2 linked regions of the Drosophila melanogaster genome follow. The protein of the gene in region 1 interacts with the protein of each later gene in a pairwise test. Each region holds a gene or a part of one and is shown on either strand. Other genes may lie near its edges. The genes, in order: Cpr47Ee and LKRSDH.

Region 1 (8,618 bases):
CGCGATAGGTGCCATCTGCGGACTCGAACGAAAATAGGTAGGAACCCGAGCTAAGTTGTTCGGTCACCGATTTGAGGATTGGCACCGGCACGTTAATGGAAGTACACTCAGCGGGGCAACTCCACAGCAGTTGGCAGCCAGTCAAGATCAATAGCTGGAAGTTCCCAAAAGAAAAAAAGAAAAAACATGAAGAAAAATGATGTGGAGTCACTTAACGCCAGGGTATTCATGAGCCATCCGCTACTTACCAATGCGAACATGATTTATGCTAATACTAAGCGTGTAGGAAAGATTCTGCGCTTTTTATAGCAATCCGTTAGACGATAGTCCAGATACATAGATACATTTCTCCACCCAATCAGCAGACAAAAGTTATGCAATGCCAGATGCTTTTTAATTGAGGTCAGTAGAAAGTAGCGGCTCGTTGTGTCTCAGAATTTTTGGGGTTTGTTGAACCTCAGATTTGCAATTCAAATGGCGATTAAGAAGTGTGGAGAGCAGGTAAACTGTCATGTTTACACAATGCAGATAGCATCATAGGCACATGCGAATGGCGTGGGCTCTGCTCGAAAGGTGCAGCAGCTAATAAAATTTGTCACAATTGCCGGCACTGCGGCAATTTGTGGCAAGCGAAAGGTGCAGAAATGGTAACGAACGACTGCTCCACCTGACTTGACTTCTACATGCAAATTCCAGCCAGCAAACTTTGATACAGTGGGTGGGCACCTCTGGGCCTTTGAGAAGCGGCTAACATTTATGGCAAACGGCATGCTGGCAACGGCAAGACAAAAAGAATTCAATAATAATTTCCAGCAATTTCGCAACTGGGCTGCGGCAGCAGCAGCACCACATTGCGGCAGAAGTTGCATTTTGGCATTTGCCTTGGCCCGCCCAGTTCCAATTTCCAGTTCCACTTGCCAAAACGGCCAGGCTCTCGGGCAACGTGTTAATAAATTGATTCTTGGTGGCTCCCCAGTCGGTGAGTTGGTTTAAATCCCGCGGAATCAGGTATGACTGCCAGCATGCACATGGAGAAATAATTGGGGAAACAAAAAGTCTAAAAAGGATTACAACAGATTTTATTTCCATTTTAAAATAAATTCAACAACTTTTTCTACATATATTTTTCTCTTGTACAGTTAGGTGCGCTTCGTCACTACGCGCCATTCACTGTTATGGAAAACCGAAAAATAATTAGATTTTCATGAATTTGTACGTGACACAATGACTGTAAATCTTATTAGCTTATTTTTATAAGAATTTAAGGGCCGAAAGGACCCTACTCTATTTTTTTCGAGTGTCTCTTTGCAAAGCGGCATTTGACGCGCCTGCCACAGAAGTGGAAACTTATTAATGAAGCAGCCGCAATGCCGACGAGGTCATAATTCAGAGCTGCGACACTCTAACCTTTAGCCAAGATCTGCCAGCCGGAACCTGAAGATCCGCAGTCGCAATTTTGTTGCAGTCGCACTACGCACTGCCACAAAGTGAATCAATTAGCTCCGCTGGCGGCCATAATTTCTAACTAATGCAATTCGCAATTGCAAAATGTCAGGCCCACTCAACAAAGTATGAAACATCTAAACCATCTCGAAGCGGTGCAACTTTCTGGCTGCCATCTATTAATAACCGTCGCCTTTGCTGTCCGACTTTCAGTTGGATTTGGATTTGGATTTGGGGCTAAGGCCTATGGCTCATAGACATGGCTCAGTCGCAGTTGGAGTCGTGGGAGGAGTGTCCGACCTGTCTTTAATGCGGTTTGCTCATCGGCCAACAACCACATTGTGTTGGCTTGTACTATGCGCTTGTTGTGTCTCGCATTTCTGCATTTTTACGAAGCTCCCCGCATCGCCTCGTTTTCCCGCATTTTGAAGCTTTGTTTTATGGCTATTTATACCCCAAGTTTGCGAATTATTCAAATGGCAAATCAATCAGGCAGCGATTGGCCAATATGGGCCAAAAAACATTTTATAATTAATATTGAACACATTCAATTTGATCTGCTTATTGGGTCAAAACATTTTCGAACCCTAAATCAAAGTTATTTTTAGACATATGGAAGCTGCCAAAACCTATCATTACCTTAAATAAAAAACAAGAGATGTGTAATAACCAAACTAGCAGAAAATCAAATTACATAAAAAATTCCCACGGCCGTTGATTTCACGTCGCATATATGGGCTTTAAAACAACAACACATCGGAAATGTATTGTAAAATCGATTTTTTTATATACATTATACATTGCAAATCATAAGAAATTAAAAAGTTTAAATGAACAATACCCTTTTAATTAATAATAACAAAAGGAAGATGACAAGCAGCAAAAAGTAGTTCATCGAACTGAATAACTCTCATCTTTTATATCTAAGCAATTTAGATATAATTTATAAGTAAAAATATCAATTAATTTTAAAATTAACCTGTTTGGCATGTGCTAAAATTTCCCAGCGAAGCGTATGAAAATGTCGTGAAGGGCGAAAGTGGAACCTATTTGGATTTCGAATATTTATGTAGCATATTTCGCGGCTCCGTTATTTATATTTCTTGGGTCAAAATATCTCTTCTACTTTTAGGCAGATTCTCACATTACCTAGGCACCTAAAGTTTAGTTTATTGCCACCATATCTTTATCGTTTCATAAAAAAAACGCAAATTTTTTAATTTTTTGACAGGAACCGAAATTTAGCTTTAGATTTAAATAGAAGCATAAGCTCCCAATTGAGTGGTGACCCATAACCCATAAAACGCGAGTGTTGACCTTTGTTTCGTAATGAAAAACCTCCACAGAATTAGCATATGCAATTATAGATGAAGCTGAACATGGAACAAGACATGTTCGCCTTTTAATGGCAGCTCATACTGATGACAAACGAAAATGTATCTGTCAGATACTTGGCAGTTATAAATGAGTGATGGCGACCACATCACACCTAGACATGAGCAATCCCCGTCCCATCGAGATTGATGATTAACCCCACTGGAGCGTGGAACAATGGAACACTTCGGGCACGAAAAGCTCTCAAGCTATCCTGGGGATAAGCAGTATCGCATTTGATTAGTATGCCATTTGACAAATGATGTTTGTAGGCCAAGTTGAGGTCCGATTTCCACCTTGACCAAGGGAAAATGAAGGGGCTATCCAACATACAACATAGACCACCAGCCACTGTCAGCACATAACTCAAGCAAACACCTTTGAGGCAGATGCGAAGACAAGTGCTGGAGCAAAAAGACCCAGAATTTGCATATGGGGCTGGCTCATAAACAAGTGCGCGGAAGACGACCGGTGGGCCACCATGAAGATATCAATCAGCCCAGGCCAAAGCCGAAGCCAAACGAAATTCGTTTGTCCTTCTGTCAATGGCCGATAAAAAACCAATAAAGCTGCCAGCCCAGCGGCTTGTTAACACGCAGATAAATTACACTGGCCGCCCGCGAGATTACCATCGAGATGCAGTCAGAAGCCGATAGCCAGGGCACAGGAAGCCGCCGATTGTTCTGACCATAACTGAGCTGAGCTTTAGGGCCTGACGAACCGCCGGGCCCGACGATCGAGAACCGCATAAATACGGCCGCCGGTGGGAGCCGCAATTGCAGTCGTGGCACGGCTTTCGATCAGTGACTTCCAGTGGCAGCAACGGATTTGCTTCGGTACGCGATTGAATCTCCAGCATCAGCAGTGTTTCCCAGCTCCATAAGTGAATCGTCGGGTTTATCGAGCGTGTAATTTGTGCTCCGTTCGCGAGATTTATGATCCACGGCACCTGCCCACTGACAGCCTAAATGTCTGTAGCCCGTACCCCTCGATTCCGGCACCTCCGCTGGGTGGCCTGTCTGCTGGCCAGCCTCTGGTTTTCCGTCAGCCAGGCTCAGTTGCCAGGAACCGGATTCCAGGGACAGCGTCCGCAGGTGCCTCCACTGCAGCCGCTGCAACAGCAGGCCAATCCCTTTCAGCGACGCCAGCCGAATCCCGTACAGGGTCAAGGACTGTTTCCTGGTCAAAGGAATCCACTGAACCCACTGGCACCTCCACTAACTGGAGCTGCTCTACAGAATCCCTATACCCGCTACAACCAGTACCAGCAGCAAAACTATGTGCCCATCACTGCCTACCAAAACGAACTCAATCTGGATGGAAGCTTCTCCTACGGATACTCGTCGGCCGATGGAACCACTGCCCAGGCACAGGGATACGTGAAGAACTTGGGGTATGGTGAGGGAGTTGAGGCACAGGTGGGTTTACTATTCAGATTGATTAGCAAACTTTTCAGTGATATTCTTCTAAATGATCCTATAGCATTAATTGATGGAAAATGGTGTTAAGACTTATTTGTTGATATTTACATCAGCCTTTTTTTAAGTAAATTTTTCTGTTATTTTTTAGTAGAACAAGTTTTTTAAGCTTCACATATCTATGCATAAATTCAAGTAAATTATTTTCAAAAAACCAACGATCATATTATTCAAATTGGGACATAATGCGTTGCAATCTTTTCGGCGTTGAGCTAACTATAACTAAAAAATTCGTATCATGCTTTTGGGTGCTATTTGTCAACAACTTTATTTGCCATTGAACAGGTGATTCAGGGATCCTACTCGTACACCTCACCGGAGGGCACACCCATCACAGTGCGCTACATCGCCGATGAGAACGGATTTCGAGCGGAGGGCACGGGGATTCCATCTAGCCCTCAATATTTCGCAGGTGCCCAGCCCTATCAACAGGGCTTGCTCAATCCCAATTTGAATCCATACCAGACGCCCTTCCGCCAGCTGCCACCCCCACTGCCCAACGCCCCCTTTCGTCCCCAGCTTCCAGGACAACAGCCGCTCACTCCACTGCAGCAACAGCAGCAGCAACAGCAACAACAGTTGCAACAGCAACGCGGTTTCCAGCAGCAGCAGCAGCCAAACTCCGGGCAATATCAACCGGAACAGCCGTTCAATCAGTTGCATTCCGGCAACTTACCCGGTCAGTATGCCGGACAATTTGGCCAGCAATCGTTTGGCAGCAATCTTACTGCACAACAGGCACAACAGCAGCAGAATCTCAACCAGCAACAGCAGCAGCAGCAGCAACAACAGCAGCAGCAGCAACAGCAGCAGAAGGAGCAGCAAAACGAGCAGCAGCAACAGGCCCTAATCACCCAACAACTGAGGGGCAGACCGAACAACCTGGTGGATCCATATGGCTATAATCAGTACGGCAGACGCTTCAAGAAGTCCCCAAAGAAATAACGACAAATTAATGTCATTTAAATGATTGATTAGTTTGAAGATGTAGTCGCAACTCAAAGGCATGAAATACATGCATCTGAAAAGTCAAGCAGTTTGTTTCAATTTCCGCAGCTTACGCGGCGCAAAATGATAAGCAAATATTTTATAATAATCATTTATTTCGATAGTTGCACACACACATTGTCAGAGTGGAAGAGGGAGGTAAGCTTATATAAATAAATTAATTGTTTTAGCGAAAGAACATTGAGGGCAGCCTGCACGGAAATGACGTTTCTTCGATTTGAGAGATTTGATTGGCGTTTTGGAATAAATTCTGATTTTAGTAGCTATAGCCCGTCTGAGGATTGAACTCTCCGTTTCCACGACCTCCGCCCGGCGCTCCCGGAGCAGGTGGAATGTACTGTGATCCTGTGCCGGGAACTCCTCCCGATCCTGGTCTGCCTGGCGAGCCGGGTGCTCCGCCACCAGCCGCTGGTGGAACATACTGATTGCCGGGCAATCCTGGTCCGCCTGGACGTCCACCGGCGCCTCCTAGATAAAAAATGGAAACAATCGCGATTAGAGTGGCATTAAATTTATGTAAACCCTCTTTGATTAGTTGTAATTATTTAAAGCAGTCTTTAAAATTATTATAATCTAGCGACTTCAAAGAGACCGCGTGCAAGCCGAAATGTTTTATGCATGAAAGATCGTTAGTCGATCGTGGGTAAAACAATAGACCAAGGCTTTGCCAAACAAGAATTGTCAAAATAAAAAAACTGAAATGTGTGGGAATAGCACTTGTCTAGTGTAGCTCTTCACATCATTTTCTCATGAAGATGAATGAGGCTAATTCAAGTTTTACAATTGCAATCACACAGATTGTAAAACCGGGTTTATAACTATAATGCTTCTTACCCGGTCCACCGGCACCTCCTCCATAACCTGGACCGCCTGGAGATCCTACATTAAAAAATGTAAATACCATCTATATGTTGTGACAAATTGGGAGAGTGACCTCTTCATCACAAAAACCAATGTTACTCACCGGGTCCACCGGGTGCTCCTCCAGCTCCACCGCGACCACCGCCGGCGCCAAAGCCACCACCACCTCCTAAAAAATAAATATTACTTTAATTATTATAATATTTATAACACAGTTTAACAAGTAGTCGGAAACTTGAAGAATTTCGTAAGTTTTGTGGAATGCACAGTGTACTGTTACTAAGTTACTAACCTTGGCCTCCGAATCCTCCTCCTCCGGGAGAGCCTGCGAAACACGAATGGTATGTTTTTAAAGCCACTAGGCAGATATTAAAATCGACTTACCAGGAGCTCCAGGAGCACCACCACGACCGGCGCCGCCTCCGTATCCGCCACCCCCACCTACAAGATGAAGATGTTTTACTTAAGACCTGCAACTGGAATATTGTTTTGCTAACTAACCTTGACCGCCAAATCCTCCTCCACCAGGCGATCCTATTAATTAATAATTCCTTATTTTCAGTAACAAACAATTTATGTTTTGTACTCACCTGGAGCTCCTGGGGCACCTCCACGACCACCACCTCCTCCGAATCCGCCACCACCTCCTACAAGATGAATGTATTATTCGAGGTGAATGTGCAGTAAGTTTTAAAATCCCTTACCTTGACCTCCGAATCCGCCACCACCTGGGGATCCTGGTGCTCCTGGCGCACCTGGTGCTCCACCACCACCGCGACCGCCGCCGCCTCCATAGCCGCCGCCAGCACCTCCCTGGCCACCATATCCGCCTCCGCCTGGTGATCCTGAAAATAAGCAATGTGTTATCTATTATATAAAGTGAATGAAATCATGAACTCACCGGGAGCGCCAGGAGCACCGCCGCGTCCGCCGCCACCTCCGAATCCTCCGCCTCCACCTGGAAAGTGTATATAGTTTTAACTTGAACCGCAAAGTCAGGCGGGATCACTTACCTTGACCTCCGAAACCTCCACCGCCAGGTGATCCTTTAGTTGAAGTAAGTTATTAGTTTTGAGTATCTATGGAGTAACACTTTTCGTTAACTTACCGGGAGCTCCTGGTGCTCCGCCACCGCCGCGTCCTCCGCCGCCGCCACCACCATAACCGCCGCCAGCACCTCCTTGACCACCAAATCCGCCGCCGCCAGGTGATCCTGAAATATATGAAAATAAATATAAATTCATGAAGTGAATTAAGACGGATTTTCTTTAGGAACAATAAATTTCATCTAGAAAAAGGACTTACCAGGACCTCCTGGGGAACCACCACGACCAGCTCCGCCACCAGCTCCTCCATAGCCTCCTCCACCTCCTAAAAAATAAATAGTATTTTAGATCCATGTGTAAGCCGTTGGAACATAACTTACCTTGACCTCCGAATCCGCCTCCACCTGGCGCACCTAAAGAAGCAAACGAATCGATAAAGTATTAAATTAATCTAATAGGGGTTAACATTTTTAAAAATTGTATAAATAAATCAGTCGTTACCTGGACCTCCTGGTGCTCCTCCACGACCACTGCCGCCTCCTAAAAATAATCAAAGTTAAAGTCAAAAAAGACTAAAAAAAGAAAAAGGGTCAAAATGTGACTTGAATTCGTATCTTACCTGATCCATATCCACCGCCACCTCCTGCTCCACCTCCGCCTCCACCGGATCCTCCTCCTGCGCCGCCGCCTCCAAATCCGGATCCGCCTCCATATCCCGAACCACCGCCTCCGCCGCCACCTGCTCCTGCAATCAAAAGTGAGCAATGAAATGGAATGTTAATCCATTGATTTATTTTGTAGAAACTTACCCTGTCCTCCAGGACCGCCACTGTATCCACCACCCGGCAGTATGGAGATGCCCTGGGCAGCCAGAGATTTGGCTATCGCTTCCGGAATGGGCGGTGGAGTGGGCAGGGCGTTGCCCGAGGGCACAAAGCCATTCTCATCCGCCGTGTACATGATCTCGACGAGTTCACCTTCGGGATTTGTGTAGGAGTATGAGCCCATCACGGATGGGATTTCATTCTCAGATCCCTTGTTCTTAACGGTGCCCTCCTCCTGGGCCTTTATACCATTTCCAGTCTCGTAGCTGAAACGGTAGTTGCCATCGCCGTCGTTCTCGTTGACAAATGAGAGGATCGGAATGGGAGGTCCAGAAGTTGGTGGCGCGCCACCTGACGGACTGGGGCGTGGAGCGGGTGCTCCGCCGCCTCCGCCGCCGCCGCCAGGTGCAATGGGTCTTCCGTTTGCGAAGCCACCAAGTCCGTTATTACCACCACCAAAGCCACCAGCACCGCCACCGCCTGGTCCTCCACCGAAGCCGCCAGCTGGTCCGCCACCGCCGCCTCCTCCATAACCTCCACCCGCTCCGCCGCCACCGAATCCTCCACCTCCGCCGAAGCCACCT
Region 2 (11,847 bases), on another chromosome or scaffold:
TGATTAGGAAATTATTTGCAATAACAATCTCATTTATACACTTACATTTTTTTTTAGGAAAACATTTCAAATTGTTATGGATTTGTTATTTAACATATTGTACTAATATAAGATAACCCATTAAAAGGCAAGCAATTGACATTGAAATTGTTAATACATTGTTGAAAGTTTTTAAGAGGAACGCTTAGTTTTCATTTTAGCATTGTGTTGTAAAAATAAAATCAAAAATGCTGAAGACTACGAAGCACTTTATTTATTTTAGACTGAAACCCCTTTTATTCGTATAAAAGTTGTACTTGTAAAAAAAAAAAGAAATGCAGCATTTTTACCATTTTTTTCCGTCAAATTATTTAAAATATTTGTTTCAAGTAAGTCTTTGATTACTAGCATTCCTTTTAAAGGCAAATGTTCAGATTTTTAATTTCACTGTGCAATACATATTTATGTAAATTGCTTCAAATATTTTATAATCAGTTGTTGCAAACAATAAGTTCGGACCGTATAAATACTTTACATTTTAATAGAATTAACATTGGTATTGGCATCGAAAAGTAATTAATAATATCATTATGTTATACCTTCTCGAAAGTAAAAGTTGTTGTACCCACTCCCCTTACTTATTTCCTTGGATTTTTTACACCTATCTCAATCGTGTACAAAGTTAACATAGATGTTTACTAAAAGACCTTGAAAATAATTTTTTTATGTTTCCCACCTACAAATTGGTGGAGATTGTATTAATCGTAAGATTAAATGAAATATGTGCATTCTAGAGTGTAAATAAAACGAGTTTACTTAGTTTTAAGCTAGAATAGTTGAATAAATGTTATACGCATTAAATCAACATGGTGCGAAAATAGTCTATTATATGGTCGTAGATATCGGTCTCCTTTGCCATAAGGACCACGTCGAATGCACAATTAAGCTCGACGCTAAGCAAGGGAACCAACGATGAAGATTCCACTTCACTGATTTTGGGTGTTATCTTTAAAGAGCTCATTACGTCCATAGCCTTATCCTTGGAGCTCTCGTATTCATCTGAATTGATGGCCTCAATGGCCTCCTTTTTCAGGGTAGGATAGAAGTTCTTGAAGTAGTTGTGTCGGTCGCAGAGCCGCATGCCTGTATGGTCTACGCTCCCGGCTTCCTTCAACTCCCAGTAGGTGGTAAATTTCTTTCTGCGCAATGCCTCCAATTCCTCCATAGATTCTTCCATATCAACAACTTTCAATTTGCTTGTGCTCGCTACTTGCATTTGATCCGGACGCAAATTGTCCGAATTGCTGGAGATTAAGGCCAGCATTTCAATGGCCGCTCGCTGACGGGCATCCTTCTTTTTGTCCGACTTTCCGTAGCGTACTATGGAGGCCACGGAGCAACAGGCCACGAATTCCGGGGCGCTCGGGGTGCCGCTTTGCTGCACTACCTCAATGCAGGGCAGTGGCATCTCGCGGCGGACGCAGTAGTCACGCAGCTCCTTCACCATGTCCCGGTTGAGGTTAGTCAGTTCCTCATCCAGATCACCCACAGTCGAATCCTTCATCAAGCCGTGTATGCCGGGCAGCAGTTGGATTTTACGCAAGATATTGCTGGCAGCCAGGTGTTTGGCATCACGCTTCGAACGCCCTAGAATTGGATAAATATGTGGCGGTTTAGATACGAATATAAATAGTGGTTGAGATTTGTAATTTAAATTTACCATTTCCAAGGGCCTCTATCTCCAATAGTTCAACTTTACAGACGTACCCTCCGTCTTCGCCGGGAATAAAACTGTATGTTGGTAGATTAATCTGTGTCCGGGCACAAAACTCCTGTAGAGCAGATACGGCTGACTTGTTATCCATGAGTTCAAGGGGAAAAGGCACGTCGGACGTGCTAACATTCAACAGAATATAACCATATATATAATTTATAAAATATCTAAAGCACTGCAATGTTATTAGAGATGGCACGCGAATCACGAAGCGGCAACGATAGAATAGGAAATCTTGACGAAGACATCTGTAAATGAATTATTTTATGCCGCTTTGTCAAAAAAATATTTTCACGAAATAGTATTGAATTCGTAATTCGAATACGAAAACAGCGGCAAACCTTCTTAACTTTTTTACTAAGGAGCAAATGCATTTTATATGCTATTCGGTGTTTTCATTCAAAGTTCAACGTCTGAAGTGTTATACATAATCGACACGTCACGATGACGCGAGTTGGCATCCCCGTAAGTCAAGGCAACCCTGTTGCGTAGTATATGGCATTAACAAGTGTTGCTGTCAGTGATGAGCAAAATCCACAACTGCAAATAACTAGATACCGTATATTTTTCAAAGGAATAAATTCTAAAAACACTAAAACCAAGTGTTTGAGCAACGACTTTAATATTTTCCAACTGTGTACTTAAATTGCCACATCCCACACACTTTGGAAAATCAATTCTCAGCTGTTTGTGCAACCTGCGACTTAAAAATACCTGCTACTCGCGGCAGCCCTGTGACCGACGCTCATCACTTGCCACAGGTCAGAACCAAATGAAGAGTAGTTTTTGATCAACTGCGGAACGTTTACTGCGTTTCATAATCAATAACTCTGTGCTGCGAGCAAAACACCACAGAACGAACAGCTGTTGAAAACCAAACAATAGCATAATACCAAATTAAATGTCAAATTCAGAATAAACTATTTCTCGAAAATACGCAGAGAGCAGAGCGGAGTAGGAAGTGAGAAACAGTGGCTGCGTAAAAAGTGTCCCCGCTAGCGCAGCAAAAACCCATCACCGATCTTCGTATCGCGGTCATTAATTAGCAATAGAAAGTTCTCCGATTCGCGGGGTCAGCCAGATGGAGGAGAACGCCGCCCCACCCGCAGCCGCAACAGCCGCGGGCTGCGATGCCGCCACCCGTCAAAAGAATCCGGAAACCAGTGTCCGGCTGCTCATCAAGTCGTCCAACCAGCAGTATGAGGATCTCAATGTGGACTCCGATCTCTGCTGGACGGTCCAGAGGCTGAAGAAGCACCTATCTCTTATCTATCCTGGCAAACCGGTGGGTTATCGAGTTGGTTCCCCCCCTTGTTATCGTATAGGTAGAAAACTGGCCAGGAGCCCCATTATCTTATCGAGAAGTTTGTTATTGTTTATCATCTTCGTTTAGGATTCATAGGTGTGTCGGTTCCCAAAGCTATTTGCGTCTTAGTCGCAAGTACACGTCAGTGGATTGCTCCTCTAAATTATAGTCGCCGTCATGCACTTGCGTCATGCACTTGGTCTATGCCAAATCGATGGGTCGGAACTGGGAACTGGGATTAATTTGGTTACGGTTAGAAAGTGATAAGATTTTTGGACATATTCACGCTCCACTCATGTGCCAAGTTTTTTATGTACATATGTACATCCCACATATCAATATCACTGATATATACTAAAGATTCAGATCATTGCAGGCAGAAAAAATACATTAGCACTCTTTATTTCCAGAGCAAATCAAGTAGAATTTATAAAAATTTATTTAGTTTCAAGTATCATTTCCATAAAGTCAACTGACAAGTACAAGTTGTTATCTCTTGGAGTGTGCAAATAAATAGATTTAGGCACTGTTTGATAGTATAAATTTCGCGCGGAGGTAAAAGCAACAATGAGTTATCTCTAGGTTCCCTCTGAATACCTATAATGTGAAATTTTATGTTTTATGTTTTGACCACTATAACTATTTCTTTCCATTTTTTCTGTAGTTAATCCAGGACCAGAAACTTATTTACTCGGGCAAGCTATTAGATGACTCCCAAAAGATATCTGAGGTGATACGCAGCTACAAGGATGTCTACCAACAGCACCACATATTTCACTTGGTGTGTGCCAGCAAGCAAGTGATAAGGCCGGCTGCCAAAGCCCCCACTGTTCCGCAGAAGGATGCGGTTCCAGCTGGGCCCGAGGTCACTGGGAATGCAAATGAGCTGCGACAACGTCATGCTCCACATCAGCAGCAGGCACAGCAGGGCAACGCTGGACCACACGTGACGGGTGACATCGGTTTGGCCAATCCCTGGACACACTTCTGGCAGCAGAGCCAGGGAGCAGCACCTGCTGCCAATGCCAGTGCCAGTCCCCATGCTTTGTTCCAGCAGCAGGCGCTCATCTACAACGCCTGGATGCAGCAGGCTTACGCGCAGTACATGCAGCAGTTGACTCTACGGTAAGTGAACAGAACCAGAAGGCTAAAGGAACACACTTGATCCAACAATTAATTCACTGATATCAGAAGCGAGCGAATCAAATTACACAGAGCTCGATAGCGAATACATTTTATTTTTCTCAGAAGGAGAAACACTTGTATTTAGTCACTCTTAAGAGGTACTTTATTATTCAAGTGAGATCAAAATGCTGTTTTAGCATTTTTAAAGTTGTTTCTTGATTATTTATAATCTTTTTATTATTTTGGTTATCAGGCGTGCTAAAATTGTAGTATACTTGTATGGCCACGATTACAGTTAAATAATATAATTTTGGGGTCGCTCCCGAAGAATTTATTGTGCGCAATTAAGTTTTGCATGTAAACGAACAATTATTTTCTATAATATTGAATGCTATGATTCTTACACAACAATCTTATATTATACCCACAGTTCTACGTTGCCCGGTTCGAACCAATCTGGCTTGCCGCCACCGACTCAACCCCTGTTGCCCTCAGTCCCACTGATTGCTGGGCGAAACTTCGGGGAGGTACAACAAGTGGCAGGAGCAGCTGCTGCCCCAGCGGCACAGGTACCTGCTGATCCTCAGATTAATGGAGCGCCGCAGAACAGAAATTTTCCCAACATTCAGGAGGAACCGGAAATGCACGACTGGCTGGATAGTTTCTTTAGCTTTACGCGATTGGCCATTTTTGTGACTGTCCTGTACTTTAACTCCTCAGCGCTGCGTTGTTTACTGGTGGTGCTCATCGCGGGTGCGATTTATCTGTAAGTACATTTCCTCTTTGATTCGAATTGAAAAGTTTACACATATATTGAAATTATAATTGTTTGTTAGATATCACATTGGTGTCCTTCGACGTCGCCGCGAGCGGAACAATAACAACATAAATCGTAACAATAATGCTGGCGATGCGGCCGCCTTTGCTGCAGTGCAGCAAATTCAGCGCATGATGGATGCGGCCGTGCAGCGGGAGAACAACGATCCCCAGGCGGCCAATGAGCCTGGTGCAGTGCCAGCGGCTGGACCTGCTGCTGCTGGTGAACAAGATGCAATCGATGCACCTCCGGCTGGGGCTCCCGTTGCTCCAGCATCCGCTGCTAATCCAGAACCGACTGACGTTTCCGCGGAAGCTGTGGAACCACCAAATGCCAATAATTCTGTGATTTCCGTTGTGCGCACCTTTGTCATCACGTTCTTCACCTCGCTGCTGCCCGAGGCGCCGGCGCTCTAGAGGATCGAACTGTACGTTATACAGAGGGACGTGTTTGACCATCCACAAACCAGCTTTACAGCTTTACGGCTTTCCTCTTTTAAAACTCCCATAATCAAACTGTTATTCCGTTTTCCTTTTGAGTTTTGTGCATACCTGAGAATGTAGCAAAAACAAACAATTTGTTTTACTAGCTGTAATAATCATGTATATTTATTTCCGAGTGTTAGCCAAGTTACAACATGGTGACTGCTGCCTCAATAGCTCGTAGAATTTTAGATATCTAAGAACGTACTCTGTTTTTGATGTGAATAGTAGAATGTTTATAATCTGCACTGCAATCTGTGCTAGAGACGAACCTATGAAACCAAGATGCAATTAAAATAAAACGTATGCTTTAACACCAAAAACCGAAATCGAAAAGTGGTGTTTACAAGGTGCAATTTTATCTATAAAAAATATATCTACGATTTAAATGAAGAACATACTGTTTTTAAATGTTTTCAACATCATTGGCATTGTTTTTAAAATCTTAAAAGAATCTTTAATTTAATAACATATAGACATATGAACATATGCATAGACACATATTGACTATTAAAAAATATATTTTTAAAATTTAAAATGTTATTATTTTAAACAATTTTGAATGATTCAATAAGGAAATAATCGGTTTTTTCCCGAAAATTTGTATAAGAATTGCATTGTGTAAACAGCGCTTGAGGAATTTTCCCCGGACGATTCTCTTAATTCTTAGAAACTTCTCTTATCAAAGTGGAAAATTTTCAGCCGAAAATCGAACGGAGATCCGGATTCCCTCACGGGTAAGTGACAATCACCAGCAGCTCGCTCTTTTTGCCCAGCTAACGCACAAAATTGGTTTCTTTTAGCTGCGATGAGATGCATGGAGAGCACGGCTTATCGCTGGATTTACGACTGGGTCCAACTGCTGATTAGAGGCTGTTTCGCTGACTGCCTCCATCGATGCCTTTAGAAGAGTACCAGAGCTCGGAGCCAACGGATCGGATCATTCCACTCAGGCCAAGAATAAGCACAACGGTTACAATTAAATTCGCACTTCATCTGCTCGAACTGATCCCACAAAGCTGCCGAAACATGTGGCGAGTGATTCAACTGCGCGCAACAATCGCGCATCCGTTCACCAGACAACGTCATGTGAGTTGATTCAACTCCCCAATTGCAGCCACATTGAATAATCGCATTCATACGAATGTAAAAGATATTAATTTTTAAAATATATATACTAAATAAATATCCCAATCTTTTGCTCTTTCAGAGTCGAGTGATTGCCATTCGGCGAGAGGATCAGTCGGTGTGGGAGCGACGAGCTCCGTTTGGACCAACCCACGTCCAGAAGTTGGTCAAGCAGAATGTCAAGGTCATAGTGCAGCCGTCCAATCGTCGTGCCTACCCCATGCAGGTGAGCTCAATTTGAAATTAAAATTTCGTCACATTATCCATAGGTTGTAACTTTCCATGGCCAGTTGGCAACGGATTTATTGAGTCTGCAGGGCTAATCGCCCATGGAAATCATATCGGTCGGTAGTCGTCAGGGCAACAAGTACGCGTGTATAGGTAGCATAGTATGGTATTTATATGGTATGGAGGCACACACGCCCCCCAAGTGCTGCATCATAAATATAAACTCGGATGATAAGCCTCCATGGAGCTCTAAATTTGGCAATTGGCCCGGCCTTGAAATCGAGTACAAAACAAACGACGAGGAGAGGAAAAACAATGGGAAGCAAAGCTTATCGTTTGCAGCAATGATTTCAAGGAATCTATATAATGTATTAAGGTGATTTTTAGAGTTGATAACATTTTCAAAGGGTCACGTGAGAAAGAACTAAACTAACTAAAATAATTTTTGAAGAAGGTAAAGCACTTAATTTAAAGTACCCCACTGACACACCCCAACAGTAAATGCAATTACAAAACGATTAGCAAATGGTACTGGAAAAAATTAGAAAACCTAATCAGATTTAATTAAGTTGAGGGGCAAGGGGATTAAATGTTTCACACGTGTATAGTACAATCATCATCTTTCGCCTGATGCATTGTAAAGATTACCACGTAGCAGGATGAATAGAATAGATAAGCGGGGCACTTAACTAAATAAAAACAAATAATAACATTGAGTTGATTTGTTTTTCCGGAACAGGCCTACATGCAGGCTGGAGCTCATATTCAGGAGGACATCAGTGATGCTTCGGTGATATTCGGAGTGAAACAGGTGCCCATAGATGCACTGATTCCTGGGAAGACCTACTGCTTCTTTTCGCACACGATTAAAGCGCAGGAATCAAATATGCCGCTTTTGGATGCTATTTTGGAGAAGGTTCCTATCACACATAAGAGTTAAATGAAGTTTTTCATATTATATTGCCACTGTTTTATCCATAGAAAATTCGGCTCATCGACTATGAGCGAATCATCGACGAACGCGGAGCACGACAGGTGGCCTTTGGCAAATATGCCGGAGTGGCTGGCATGGTGAACATCCTGCACGGCATTGGACTGCGTCTTTTGGCCCTGGGACATCATACACCATTCATGCACATTGGACCCGCTCATAACTATCGCAATTCCTCGATGGCTCGCCAGGCAATCCGGGATTGTGGCTACGAGATCTCGCTTGGCATGATGCCCAAGTCCATTGGACCACTTACATTTGTGTTCACTGGCTCTGGAAATGTTTCCCAAGGTGCCCAGGAGGTGTTCTCCGAGCTGCCCATTGAGTATGTTCCACCGGAGATGCTACGCAAGGTGGCCGAACATGGAAGTGAGTCAAGTGGAATCCTGCATTAGTTAATTCTGAATGAACTACAATTTGTATTTAACGTTAGATCAAAATAAGCTTTACGGCTGCGAGGTGAGCCGATCGGATCATCTGGAGCGTCGTGAGGGCGGCGGATTTGATGCCAAGGAATACGATGAGTTCCCCGAACGATACATCTCCACCTTTAGCACGAAGATAGCTCCGTACGCATCGGTTATTGTTAACGGCATCTACTGGGCCGTAGGCAGTCCCAAGTTGATCAGCATTCCGGATGCCAAGAATCTGCTACGTCCGGCAAACACTCCCTGGCTGCCGACGAGCAAGGGTAGTCCGGCTTTGCCACATCGCATGCTGGCCATTTGCGACATTTCCGCTGATCCCGGTGGCTCCATTGAGTTTATGAACGAGTGCACCACCATCGACACTCCATTCTGCTTGTACGATGCGGACAGGAATAAGGATACCAAGAGCTTTAAGGGACCCGGAGTTTTAGTCTGTTCGATTGATAATATGCCTACACAATTGCCCAGAGAATCGACGGATTTGTTTGGAGAGCTGTTGGCTCCTCATGTTCATGATATTATAAAGAGCGATGCCAAGAAGCCGTTGGCAGAGGAGAACTTCTCATACCCCATTCAGTCGGTGAGTTCACTTTGCCTTACCTTTATATTACATTTATAAATTTACCTAAAGTTAATGATTTATATTGTAACTTACGCTTTGAAGAGTTGTTTTCTTAACCTAAACCAATGTGCATCATGCCTTGTTATCAGCATCTGTTATCAGCTAATAAATTCCGTTTCTCTTTGCTCGTTTTCAGGCTATTATCGCCAGCAACGGTCAGCTGACGGAGGGCTTCCAGTATATTCAGGAGCTCCGAGAGTCGCAAAGCCACAGATCGCGCCACAAGATGGAGGGAAGTTCGGAGTCTGACAAGAAGGTCTTGGTTCTGGGAGCTGGCATGGTGTCCGCTCCACTCGTAGAGTGGCTTCATCGCGAAAAGGACGTCAGCATAACGGTTTGCTCGCAGGTCAAGGAGGAAGCCGATCGCCTGGCTCAGCAGTATGCTGGAGTGGACAGCGTCTATCTGGATGTGAACGAGAGCACTGGTCATCTGCAGGAGCTGTGCGGCAGGGCAGATGTAGTAGTTTCCCTGCTGCCCTACAGTCTCCATGGCATGGTGGCACGTTATTGCGTGGCAGAGGGCACCCACATGGTTACCGCAAGTTATCTGAACGACGAGATCTCCGGTTTGCACGAGGAGGCCAAGGCCAAGGGTGTGACCATCATGAACGAGGTGGGCTTGGATCCTGGTATCGATCACCTTCTGGCACTGGAGTGCATCCACGAGGTGCAGGACAAGGGAGCAGTTGTCGAGTCCTTCGTGAGCTATTGTGGCGGTCTGCCTGCACCGGAGCATTCCAATAATGCCCTAAGATATAAGTTCTCTTGGTCACCCAGGGGAGTACTTCTCAACACACTTTCCGCTGCAAAATATCTGAGTCAGGGACAAATTGTGGAGATTTCTGGAGGTGGGGAACTCATGTCAAGTCCTCGCAGCTTGGATTTCCTGCCAGGATTCGCCCTGGAGGGTTTCCCCAACAGGGATTCCACCAAATACGGCAACCTTTACGGCTTAGGCAGGGATGTGCACACTTTGCTTCGTGGAACCATACGTTATAAGGGCTTTTCGGAATCGATTAAGCCTATGCAGCTCTTGGGACTTATCGATCCGGAGCCACATGCATTGCTACATCCCAGTGGGCCGGATGTCACGTGGCGCCAGCTGGTGATCCATCTAATGGGCATGTCGGACTCGACCATCTTCTACGAGAACCTCAAGCAGAAGCTGACTGAGCGCATTGGAGATGTGGACGGCATCGAGAGCTTGGGTCTGCTGGATGATACTCCTGTGGTGAAGCTCAACACTCCGCTGGATACGCTTAGTCACTATCTCTCGAAGAGACTTGCCTTCGGTGGGTTAACCATTTAATTCTAAACTGATTTTATAATTAATCATACTATTCATTTACAGAGCGGGATGAACGCGACCTGGTGGTGCTGCGCCATGAAGTTGGCATCCGTTGGCCCGATGGTCGTCGTGAGGAGCGTGGAATCAATTTTGTGGTCTACGGACAGCCCCAGGGTCACTCCGCCATGGCGATGACTGTGGGCAAGCCGGCTGCCATCGCAGCCAAAATGATCCTAGACGGTGGGTTCCCTTATCAGTACTCTTAAAAGCCGTTTAAATAATTCCAAATCATCCCATTTCAGGTGAGATCCAGGAACGCGGCGTCCTGCTGCCCTTCACTCCCGACATTTATCGTCCCATGCTGCAACGTCTGCGCTCCGAGGGTCTGACTGCCACGGAAACCTCCAGATGGCTAAATTAAGTGATCTTAACTGATCCCGAGAAAATAGGCTTAAGTCTTCATTAATATTACTTTTTTGACTGCCCACCGCGTCGGGTGATACTTCTTGTTTTATCGCTCGGGTATTTCGTTGTTTGATAAGAGTGTCATTACGTTATCATAATACTGAAATAAGTTTTATAACTAGAGCTACTTGACGTACGTAAACAAGTTGAAGTCGTTGTCCAAATTGTGAAACATGTTTCCTTAACGTGAATTCACTACGAGCCTGATTGTAAGTGATTAAATATTTATGGAAAATAATAATACTGTATAAGTGGATTGTATTTAAAGATATAGAAGGCCTGGAATATACAACATTGATTATGATCATAAACGTGTATTCCAATTTTCCGTGCGATTTAATCTTTAAGATTCGATTTCCGTTCGATTGTCCCTGTAGCGCCTGGCAACCCGATCTGCGAAGGGTTATCATCCGAACTTGAACTAATTTTAAATGAAGAAACCCGATTTCAATCTATATTTAGTGCGGCATAAAACATCTTTGGTGATCCGATTGGATCCGTTTGCGAGGCGGTCATTAACGTTTATAATTGTAATAAACAACAAACAGGCCACACATCTCCCTGGAATTACTGTGGAAAATGTGGAGCCCGAGACTGATAACCTCTCTGCCGGGCAGCAATTTAGTTGCCCATGGAGTGGGAGCGCGCAATCTCGCGTTTTACAAATTTTAATTCACATTCATTCAATGCAAAGCACACACACAATCTTTTTTGCAGATAAGATTGTGCGGGCTAGTGATGCCAATTACACGTAGTTAAACAAGTAATGTACATTTACTTCTGCGGTAAGTAAAAGGTTTTCTTTTAAAGATGTTTCTTATCTGGGGTCTGATTTGAGGATTGGGAAATTGTTCTCTGCATGAAATTTGCTAGATTCCACTTTAATAATACACGAAAATTTTTACTTTTAAAAAACGTTTTTTTCTAAAACTTTCTAAGTGCTATAAACGCAATAACGGAAACATGGAAAATTCATAGTTCGTGAAGAGAACATCCGGCGGAGGGGACTGGGGAAACCCGGATCAATTCCAAAAAACCGCCAAATGAGCATGACTGGTGTGCGGTGCGCACTGGGATTCGTTGTTGTGGAACCCAAGTCGCGGTCGACGTCGCGAATTAAGCGCTGGGCCATCGGGCCTGATAAGTCCGCGTCCGCAGTTCCCATTCAGACGCCGGTCCGTCCGGAATAAAGTACGTGTGTGTTCTCTTCATCT

What was found.
Region 2: the proteins of Cpr47Ee (region 1) and LKRSDH interact in a two-hybrid assay, tested with the Drosophila melanogaster proteins (one large-scale study listed by BioGRID).

What each region holds. Positions count from the first base shown.
Region 1 is NT_033778.4:11,261,531-11,270,148, forward strand, and holds Cpr47Ee (cuticular protein 47Ee), read left to right. Parts: upstream 1-3,595; 5' UTR 3,596-3,785; coding exon 3,786-4,235; intron 4,236-4,580; coding exon 4,581-5,240; 3' UTR 5,241-5,326; downstream 5,327-8,618. Other genes in the region: Cpr47Ed (cuticular protein 47Ed), read right to left, coding at 1-154, 249-260; Cpr47Ef (cuticular protein 47Ef), read right to left, coding at 5,560-5,771, 6,138-6,182, 6,268-6,333, 6,457-6,489, 6,549-6,605, 6,666-6,698, 6,755-6,811, 6,869-7,009 and 8 more.
Region 2 is NT_033779.5:7,790,500-7,802,346, reverse strand, and holds LKRSDH (lysine ketoglutarate reductase/saccharopine dehydrogenase), read left to right. Parts: upstream 1-6,387; 5' UTR 6,388-6,512; coding exon 6,513-6,572; intron 6,573-6,693; coding exon 6,694-6,837; intron 6,838-7,578; coding exon 7,579-7,755; intron 7,756-7,820; coding exon 7,821-8,199; intron 8,200-8,263; coding exon 8,264-8,838; intron 8,839-9,016; coding exon 9,017-10,172; intron 10,173-10,231; coding exon 10,232-10,408; intron 10,409-10,470; coding exon 10,471-10,589; 3' UTR 10,590-11,172; downstream 11,173-11,847. Other genes in the region: r2d2, read right to left, coding at 836-1,626, 1,700-1,844; Herp (Homocysteine-induced endoplasmic reticulum protein), read left to right, coding at 2,835-3,038, 3,724-4,184, 4,615-4,950, 5,021-5,417.